Linked DNA regions of Bombyx mori. The protein of the gene in region 3 interacts with the protein of the main gene of each other region in a biochemical or structural test. Links are inferred from orthologs where the notes say so. Each region holds a gene or a part of one and is shown on either strand. Other genes may lie near its edges. The genes, in order: Rad23, FAS-associated factor 2 and ubiquitin-protein ligase E3A.

Evidence for each region.
Region 1: of the proteins of ubiquitin-protein ligase E3A (region 3) and Rad23, one has a biochemical effect on the other in vitro, tested with the Homo sapiens proteins (9 studies listed by BioGRID, with this or other methods). The link is inferred for Bombyx mori from reciprocal best matches to the Homo sapiens genes UBE3A and RAD23A.
Region 2: of the proteins of ubiquitin-protein ligase E3A (region 3) and FAS-associated factor 2, one has a biochemical effect on the other in vitro, tested with the Homo sapiens proteins (2 studies listed by BioGRID). The link is inferred for Bombyx mori from reciprocal best matches to the Homo sapiens genes UBE3A and FAF2.

The regions. Positions count from the first base shown.
Region 1 is NC_085116.1:8,907,731-8,910,840, forward strand, and holds Rad23 (nuclear excision repair protein rad23), read right to left. Parts: upstream 1,840-3,110; 5' UTR 1,675-1,839; coding exon 700-1,674; 3' UTR 551-699; downstream 1-550. UniProt on the Homo sapiens protein: Multiubiquitin chain receptor involved in modulation of proteasomal degradation. Binds to 'Lys-48'-linked polyubiquitin chains in a length-dependent manner and with a lower affinity to 'Lys-63'-linked polyubiquitin chains.
Region 2 is NC_085109.1:7,642,073-7,645,733, reverse strand, and holds part of FAS-associated factor 2, read right to left. Parts: intron 2,763-3,661; coding exon 2,588-2,762; intron 1-2,587. UniProt on the Homo sapiens protein: Plays an important role in endoplasmic reticulum-associated degradation (ERAD) that mediates ubiquitin-dependent degradation of misfolded endoplasmic reticulum proteins.
Region 3 is NC_085119.1:5,216,332-5,219,992, forward strand, and holds part of ubiquitin-protein ligase E3A, read right to left. Parts: coding exon 3,608-3,661; intron 2,808-3,607; coding exon 2,602-2,807; intron 1,464-2,601; coding exon 1,282-1,463; intron 867-1,281; coding exon 698-866; intron 290-697; coding exon 122-289; intron 1-121. UniProt on the Homo sapiens protein: E3 ubiquitin-protein ligase which accepts ubiquitin from an E2 ubiquitin-conjugating enzyme in the form of a thioester and transfers it to its substrates.

The DNA.
Region 1 (3,110 bases), on a different chromosome or scaffold from region 3:
CCTACATTTTTACAAAAACTTTACGTGCAACATTTCAGTAGTCTCTAGTATTATTTTTAACACAATAAAAGTAGTATCTGAGTATAATAGACTATAGCTTAGCCTGTATCATAGATAATACACTTAAAAGGCCAGTATTCTTGGTCCTTGGTATATCCTTAAATGACAGTGACCACTCACCATCAGGTGTGTCCTACTTGGCCATCTACAGCAATAAAAAAGGAATGCAAATCTCGACCAAACATTCTATAATATAATGTTTTCATTATTTAAGATTTTAAGCATGACCTATATCTACTTTTTTTGTGAAATATTTGTATTATGTTGTAGTGTTATATATACATTAAACAAAATTTATAATCAAAAAATTAAATTAAACTGCTAAACAGCATCGATTACTTTATGTAAGTATAATGAATACAAGCTGAAAAATAATTATAAATTACAAATGTGGTTGAAAATTTAATCATTTTACTTATTTGATGATTATTTTAAGTAAATTTACTTTGACTGTAAGCAAATAAACATTATTACAAAAATAATAAACCACTGAACAATAAGAAATTTATTAGATATTGAATAATGACAAGCTCTATAAAAGTGTATGAAATACACAGATTGTGTAGATTAAAACAATGAATTTTGCAAAAAAAACAACACTTTTTCCTTTTGCACTTGTCATTCGATTAAGTCAAGAACTTAGTCATCAAAATTCTGAGACAGCAAAAAGTTAGCTGCAAGATTCTCATTTTTTTCACAAGCAAAATAGGCTTGTATCACCATATGTTCAGGAAAACCAAGAGCTTTTAATCTTTCAATAGCTTCTTTATCTTGAGCAGACACTTGAATAACATTCTGTGACCCTAATTGAGGTTGTTGAATATCAGCAACATTCTCATCTGATGCTACTCCCGCAGCAGAAGGGTTCACTGGTTCATTTAACATTCTGACAAAGGCTTCTTGATGTTGGCTGATTACTTGTAATAAAGCTGGATTTGTCTGACCAATCTGCTGTAACACAGCATTTAACAAATTGGGATTCTGTTGTATAACAGCACGCATTTGCTGAAATTGTGGTTGATCTCGCAGGAAGGCTAATGGGTCTTCATCAGAACTTTCTTCAGCTTCTTGTTCATGTAGCAATTCTTCAGGAATACCTGTTATTAAATATTCTACAGCTCTTTCTCTATTATTAAATGAGGCGCGTAATGCTTGTTCAACTTGTGGCCTATCATATCCCATATCCATAATACTTTGGATAGTTGCTTCTAACTCAGCATCACTAGTGGTGTTGGGAGTCTCGGTAACTCGCTCAGTTTCTGCTGTAGTAGGCTTGACTACTTCTTCAGGAGGAACAGTCTTAGGCTTAGCATCACCACTATCAGTAGAAGCACTTTCGCCTGCTTCGGGTATGGAAGTTGATGTAGGCTGGCTCTCGGAGACTTTAGGTTTTGTAACCATAATAACAATGAATTTCTTTTCATCTATGTTGTAAGAATTTATTTTGTTGTCGTCCAGAAGAATTTTTCCCGCATAAATAAGTCTTTGATGGTCGGCGACAAAATCCTTCCCTTTTTCCACTTCAATTTTTAACTTCAATGCTTTCACAGTTTCTTCTGGATCTATTTCAATTTGAAATGTTTGCTGTTGTAAAGTTTTTAGCGTCACCAACATTTTTACACTTTTCTTATTATATTAGATGATTCAGTAAGTTGTGCACAAAATTTATCAACTGAATTCTGACTCGACAGAATTATGCAGTAAACATAACCTCTTCCAAAAGCATAGATTACACTATACCTGGTAATCCTGGTAAGTATGTAATGGATTGTGCACTAATATTGGTACCTACCTACGAGTTCTACTAGGGATGTGAAGATATTTTAAAAGATGATTTATTTGCTATAATTTTTTAGGTAATTTTTTTTAAGCGAGGTACTTTATGTACAACGGAACAAACATCACACACATTTTTGATGAAATTTTGTACAATTTATTAATTAACACAATTTAACAATATTTGTATGATCTCGACGACTTTAATTTACTACATAAGCTCCTGGTTAAATGTCTTAATTTAATATACTCAAGTTTAAATTTTCTTGGCTCGTACGTATTAGTTTATTTGTTTTTTTTAATGTACTTTTAATATCTCTTTTTTACTATTTTAATAGCGGGGAATTTTCTATGGACTTTTTTCAACTTTTCTTATAATTTTTAATGTCAAAAATTTGTTAATTTTATTTTCAATGAACTTTTGATTCCTTAGTGTTATAAACTGTATGTATATTCACTACAAGGGGAAACTTATACCGTTTATTATTTTATTAACGTTTTGTCTGGCCTAGCTATAAATGGTAGATCTTTGATCAACAAGATGAAATGGAGCCACTCGCTAAAACCATCTTGCTTATTTATACCGTAAATTAGTCTTTACCGTCTTTTCGGTCAGCCCATACCGTGCGTTTCGAAGATCAAATATCTAGGCGTCACAGAGGATTCCGTCCCCATATAATAAAGGTAAGCGACCGAGTCGCTTTTTTTTTTAAATCCTACCTAAGCTGATAGCCTTCAGAGGCTATGTCAGCGTAACCTAATAATTAGGTGAGCTCATGGGACTCAAACTTGGCAACGCTGCTTACACTAACACTAGCAAGAGCAGTACGTTGCAGAATCTACTACCGGATCGCAAACAAGACCCACTGAGATTTTTTTTTTTATTGCTTAGATGGGTGGACGAGCTCACAGCCCACCTGGTGTTAAGTGGTTACTGGAGCCCATAGACATCCACAGCGTAAATGCGCCACCCACCTTGAGATATAAGTTCTAAGGTCTCAAGTATAGTTACAACGGCTGCCCCACCCTTCCGGATCCGGCGAGAAACTCAGTGGGCTGTATCGGTGGATTAATTTACTCGCCGAGGCCTTCGTCGCAAGCGACGGGTTCGACGAGAACGGTAACCCATGCTCGAAGTGCCTAAAAGCACCGATAGTGGATCGGGAGGATACGAAATGACGTGTTTTGGGTGACTGCGACTGTTTACCAATTCGTCCGCAGGTTTGGGTATGTAGGTGCCGGCAACCACGACAAGAGGGTTATTGTGTCGCGCC
Region 2 (3,661 bases), on a different chromosome or scaffold from region 3:
GTCTTGAGTGACTCCAAATTGGGATGAGGCTTTGAGCACGCCTTTTCCTCCAAGTGTTGCCATATCTTGTAATCTAACCACTGAAGTAGGAAACCTATGGAAATGAAACGTCAACAAAAAATTCGTGCCGCTGTGACGTCATCTGGCCACAAAACATGGCGGTTTTAGTGCTGCCCAGAAGATTTTAATGTTAGTAGGTTTTATCGATAAACGTTCTTGGCTCATTTTAATTTAAATATTGTTGAGTGAATGTATTTGTAGAATTTATACTTTAATAGGAAGTAAGTATATTGTTATGTGCAAAGATGATGTGATTTAGATATTATGTAAAATCTAAGACGAGATCGTGCTTCAAATTTGCCAAGTAAACGATATGACGATTTTTAAAATTTGCTACACTGATTTTATAAAGTTGTCGTTTGCCGCAAAACATAAAGATATGGCGTAGTACAGTGCCATCTGCCCATTTCTAGCATGCTGAATGTTATCGTATTTTGAGTACGTGTTTTTCTTAGACTATTACAATCTATTTCAATTGTTTTGCTGACTCTAAAGTCCGTAACACACTACCGCAGCGCACCTCAAGGAAGGTACGCCGCACCATTTGAATCACTCTCACTTGAGAGTGATTCAAATTTTAAACATATCAAGGGACAGCCTGATAAAAAAAAACACCTACAGAACATTTATTCGTTAATAATATTACAAACGCCATTCCTTGTGACTTCCTCTCTAAAATCACTTAATTATTAAATATTTAACGAGTTGACAATAGTGTTATAAAACTATTTTATTAAAATAGTTCCGACGACTTTCTTGAGATCCTATAAAATATGTTTTAATTATTATTTTTTGTATGTTTTAAGCATGATAAAATAAGAAATTTTATATAAGCAATCATATTAAATCGATATCAAAGTCAATAAATACTGTACAACCCAAAACAGACGGCCGAACTGACGTGACAATGACATTTGGCGCGCTAAACATGGCGGATTTTCGGCCTCATTAGACGGAGACGGAGACATTTACGTATATTCATGTTTCATTTTATGTACGCACTGAAATACTGTTATATTGTTTTCCTGCGAGTTAACGTGCTGAGTAAGAACGAGATAGATATATGTTTATGTATGTGCCTTCAAAATGGGTGCTATTTATATAAGCAATTGTACGTATAGAACAATATGTCGTGTCCCTACTATATAGGTCTATGAATCTAACGGATTCAAATCTGGACTGGAGGAGGGCCAGTCTTCGTGCCGGATGAAGTCGATTTCACGCGCCGCCAGCCAGTCTTGTGTGCTCTTCGCTCTATGAGCTGGCGCCGAATCTTGTTGGAATACCCAGTGCCTGTTATTGAACATGGTATGAGAAACAGGTTCCACAAGGTTCGTCAGGACTGTATTTTGATACACAACTGCATTCGTTTTTACACCTTTCTCACAAAAATGTACCTCTGTTAAGCCCCAATAAGAAACTCCCAACCATACCATGAGCGAGGATGGAAAATGACCTCGTTGGACACGCGAAATACGGTTGCTCGGTTCTTCACTACTGTGTGCGTACACCTTATCATTTTGTTTGTTGTAGCTCTCTTCTACGGCAAAAATTTTTTCATCCGAAAAAAGAATTTCCCGATATATTTTTCCCGCGTACCGCTTCAACAAAGCGCGGCATCTCTTCAGGCTCAGGTCCATTAGACGAGCATTCAAACGATGTCCTGTTTTTCTTCGATATGCCCGAAGCCCTTAATCTTCATTTAACACCCTTTTCACCGTGGTTCTGCTTAACCCCATCTGAAGGGCCCACAGTTTCTGCTTACGTTTGGGATTTCTTTGAATTCGCGCCTTCACAGCTTTTATCACTGCTGGAGTCCTAACAGACCGAGGGCGACCACTTCTTGACCTGTCATCTACACTAGAGTCTTCATTATATCGTTTGATGGTACGATAAACGAATCTTTTGGTTATATTCAAATTTTTCAGTATGTTAAAAATTTGAATTGGCGCGTAACCGCAACGATGCAACGCAATAACTGCAACACGGTCTTCTTTAAGCGTCCACTCCATATTTAAAAATGACTAAAATTCTAAAAGTATACATTTTTATTTTCATGAACAATTCGAAATTCGAATTCAATAAACTTTTTTGTGGCCAGCATTCTAAAAGAAAAGTTTTTACTGTGTGACAATACTTATGACCTGACTAGTTACATATATATAAAAATGAATTGCTGTTCGTTAGTCTCGCTAAAACTCGAGAACGGCTGGACCGATTTGGCTAAGTTTGGTCTTGAATTATTCGTGAAAGTCCAGGGAAGGTTTACAAGGTAGATAAATATGAAAATGCTCGGAATTAAATAAAAATAACAATTTTGTTTTTCCTTTGATGTTTCTCCCGTCGGACGGATTCCTTTTGTTTGTTTTAAGTTTATTTGATACAAAAGTTAAGGTCTTTTATTTATCGATTGAGGCACTACGAAGTCTCCCGGGTCAGCTAGTTATATATATATTCATTCATTCTTGTTAATTCGTGAAATAAGAGGGTAGTTGGAATTGATTAAAAAAATGTATTAACTGGCAACCTCTTGTTTCCGGCGTTCCTCTTGCTCCAATTCCTCTAAGTACTGTTGTTGCTGTAACTGTTCTAATTCACGGGCGGCCGCTTTTCGTCTCTCCTTCTCCTGGTCGGCCGCGAGGGATTCGGCGTATGCTTCGTCCTGGGCAGCCCTCAGCCGCGCTGTCACTTCGCGTTCCACTCTGGTAAATATATTTCAAATATAGATAGGTTTGTGCACGAGATTGGAGTTTTATTAATTGGTTTGATTAGTGGACGAGATGATTGGATAGACATTTATAGCGTAAACCCATCTTGAGACATGAGTTGTAAGGTTTCACTTTTAACAGGGCTGCCCCACCCTTCAAACCGAAACGCATCACTGCTTCACGGCAGAAATAGGCAGGGCGGTGGTTCTTACCCATGCAGACTCATAAGAGGTCCTACCACCAGTAAAAGTATTTAAACCGAAGAAAACCTTACCAAGACTTCCTAACACCCGTAATTACGCAAACTATGTATATTTTATTTTTAATGCCTTTGTAGGCGGACGAGCATACGGCCCACCTGATAGTAAGTGGTCACCGTCGCTCATGGACGTCAGCAATGCCAGAGGCCGAGCCAAGCCGTTGCCTACCATAAAATATAATAATTTTATTATAATAAATATAATAACTTTGCGGTTATGGTTTTTATTACACGATGATATTCCTTCACTGTGCAAATCAATCGTGAACATTTGTTAAGTACGTATTTCATTGGAAAAATGGTACTTGTCGGCGGGATTCGAACACCGGTGCATCGTTACATACGAATGCACCGGACGTCTTATCTTTTAGGCCACGACTTCAAAATCATCAACTAAGCACCCCACGAATTGTACCTACTTTTTTTTAAAGTGATAAGCACAGACCAAAACTAATATTGACATATTGTTTTCTTTTAATTCGTCAGCTTGCGCCACTGAAAGCCACATCTGAAACCACATTCGAATTTTTAAATTCATTCTCATCTGTCCGTGCGCAATTGGAATAGCTCTGTAGACTAACAATTATTTTATAAAGAAAAAAAAATCCCTATACAGCCTATACTTGAAGATCGT
Region 3 (3,661 bases):
CCATGGGCGACGGTAACCACTCACCATCAGGTGGGCCGTATGATCGAATGCCTACAATGTCAATAAATTTTTTTAAAAAAAAGTGTAATAAATATAAACCTTAAACTAAAACTTGTCTTACCTTTTTGTTTTCTTGTGTAACAAAAATATTATCTCCGTTCACTTTCAATTCGTGAAACATATTAGTTCCGAACACGTCTTGGTAACATATCCTGAATGTCTGATAATAAACCTCTTCTAGATCATCGCCCGTGTATTCTAGCATATCTTTTAAGCCGTTGTATAAAATCTGAAATGTAAAATATTAATATAACCTTAACTTTTGTTATGCATATTGTAATTTTGTTTTGTTTATTAACGAAGTGGCATGTACTTTCAAAGTACCATCAATTAGCTGCCACGAATCCGCATACATTTATCCTCAATTCAGCAAAGCATGATAAGGTATATAGGCTTACAGCTTAATAGAAATGGGGTTTGAACAAATTAGCAATCAAGATTTACATAGACCTTGGAGAACATTGCAGGGGAGCTTTCAACCTATCTAGTATTAAACATTTAAACATTTTATATTCAAAATATTCTACAGTTCAGACCTGAACATATGAATTCACCCATGGACAGGATATATCCTGGCACCAGTAAAAGGTGAAATTAATTACTATACCATATAACATTAATCATACAGGATACTTACAGGATTCCAATCAACTAAGTCTTCGAAAGAGCCTTTCCTGCCTAACAGCTTTCTATACACAACCATAGGGAAGTTAACTGCTAGAATAACATTGTTGTATATGGCAAGACCGAGCACTATACCAATCAAAGTGAACTGTGCTTCCGTTTCAAATGATGTGGGGTTGAACCTGCAATTTGTCAATTTATCTATTATCTTTATTTATTATGTTATTATCCCTTTAGCTTACAATACAATTTTTTTTAATTGCCCATCTGATGATGAGTGGTTACCGTCGCCCATGGACTTCGACTATGCCAAGGGTAGAGCCACGCTGCTGCCTACTGTTAAGTACTCTCCACAAGCCTCGTTTGAAGAAGGATATGTCATAGCGCTCGGGAAGACAAAATACAATAAAATACAATTTAGATATTTAACCTGCAATCTTGTAAACTAGCTCTATACGGCAACCCGATCTAATGAGTTACTGAATGTTGGTTGGCTGTAGAATTGTGTACCTTATATGAACAAATAAACATTCAAACTGATACCATCCATACTAGGAAAATATGGCTTACAAGTAAATGGTCCCATATAACACTCACCATACATTACGAGAGTCCTGTTGGTGCGTGAACATGCCATAGTCCGGGTTGAATATTTCTTCGACAATTAGTTGGAAAAACTCCTTACTGACACCTCCTTCGTCGACGCCCTGTTCCCCTTCGAATTCAACAACTAACTGCTTCTTCAGATCCAGAGCTCTTTCCATTGATATCATTTCCAGCTAAAATCAAATGACACCTATATATTAATACGTGAAGCAAAAACTTTGTACCCATTTTTACGAAAATGGCGTGGACGGAGGAGTATGAAATCTCCCACACTTAGAGAATATAGAAAAGGAGTGTAGAATGCAATTTTTTTTAATTATGCATTAATAATACATTAAATCAATAAAAAAAGCATGACACACACATACATACATATTATATATGAGTCGTCTATTATCAAAGGTGGCAATCTGTGCATTTGGACAAAAAAAATTTATTGATATGTCAATACAGATTGATTTGAATATAATCGTCTCCTTCAAAGAATACGGTTCAAAACCTGCATTAAATAAAGGTTAATAGTTAACCTGTTATTTATCTAAGATGTCGTTCCGAAGAGTTTTGTGACTGCCAATGGAATACAAAGTCAATAATTCGTTTTTCTGATTTACCAATCATTGTCCAAAAGTCAGATTGCCGGCTTTGATAATAGTCGACTCATATACTCTTGGTTTATTGTTGAACTTTTGTTAATGCTCAAAGTCTGTGGTTAAATTGAGAACATGTTAACATTGTTTGCCTTTAATATTATTTGTCTATAGTGTAGTCTTGACGAAATCTGTGATTATAGAAGTATATCATATCATAGTATTTGACAATAGAACTATAATATTGTTCAAACTTATAATTCCAATTAATTATAGTCGAATTTTTACTAAAGCTCCCAAGACCCAATGACTAGTGGTCCCACTAGTATACTTTAAACAACATAGAAGACAAACGAGAAAACACATTTCACAGAGTACCACCACGTCACAACTCTCCGAGCCTTCAGACTGGAGTACACAATTGCACCGTGACAGACATATGCAGAATTGTGGTGCTTTCATGGTGAGCTGCTTCGAGGACAGGCTTAACCAAAACCCAAATTTTTTTATAGCATAGATAGGTGGACGAGCTCACAGCCCACCTGTTGTTAAGTGGTTACCGGAGCCCATAGGCATCTACAAATGCCGCCAACCACCTTGAGATATGAGTTCTAAGGTCTTACAACGGCTGTCCCACTCTTCAAATAGAAACGCATTACTGCTTCACGGCAGGAATAGGCAGGGCAGGGTGCCACCAGTGGGTGTGTAGTGGGTGTGTACGCACCACGACGAGCGCGTCCTCGATGAGGTGCGAGCGGCGCACGCGCAGGCGCAGGAAGGGCTCGGGCCGCGCGGCGCCCACGGCGGCCTGCAGCAGCGCGGCGCGGCTCTCCGAGTACATGCGCAGCCGGTTCTCGTAGTACAGCCCCAGCGACTTGCTGGCCACCGTCAGCACGAACGGGTGCCGCAGGAACGAGAACCTCGTGTTGGCTGGAAAAAACATATCACATTAATTTTTTTTTTTTATTGACTTTGTAGGCAGACGGGCTTACGGCCCACCTGATGGTGAGTGGTTACCGTCGCCCATGGACTTCAGCAATGCCAGGGGCAGAGCAGAGCCAAGCCGCTGCCTACCGCTTAATACTCTCCACAAGCCTCGTTTGAAGAAGGACATGTCATAGCGCTCGGGAAACACCGTGTAGGGGAGCTCATTCCATAGCCGGATGGTACGTGGCAAAAAAGACCTCTGGAAGCGCACTGTGGATGACCGCAGTGGCTTCAGGTAGTATGGATGAACTCTACTCCGGTGGCGGGCGGTGCGATGGTAAAAACAAATTACAATTACTTAGGTGTATGTATGTGTGTATATAAATATATTTCAATTGATTGGTACACCGCGTGTAATTAGTTTCCAAGCGATTCTTTTCCACCTTCCACCACTTTGATGGTTACCTGGAAAAGATCGCTCTTAGCGATCTCTCTCTCTCTCTCTCACACATACACACACACACACAAACACACGCACGCACGCACACAAAGAGCTCTTATGCATTAAAAATTGTTGTTCAATAAATGCGAACTAATAATTTATTAACTCACGTACATCATAAGGCGACTGAGATGCCTATTAATACCCCCTAAAACTTTTAAGCACATCTCAACAACTATACTGGTATTTAAAAAAATATTTGTACGGCTAAATTTATTTTTAATTAAAAAACAGATACTATTTATTACAGATTAAGCCACACTCAACCACTTTTCGGTATGCAAAAAATAATAATACTCACGCCTACTAATTACCATCTCATAATCTTCGCAATCTTTATCCATTTCTATGACGT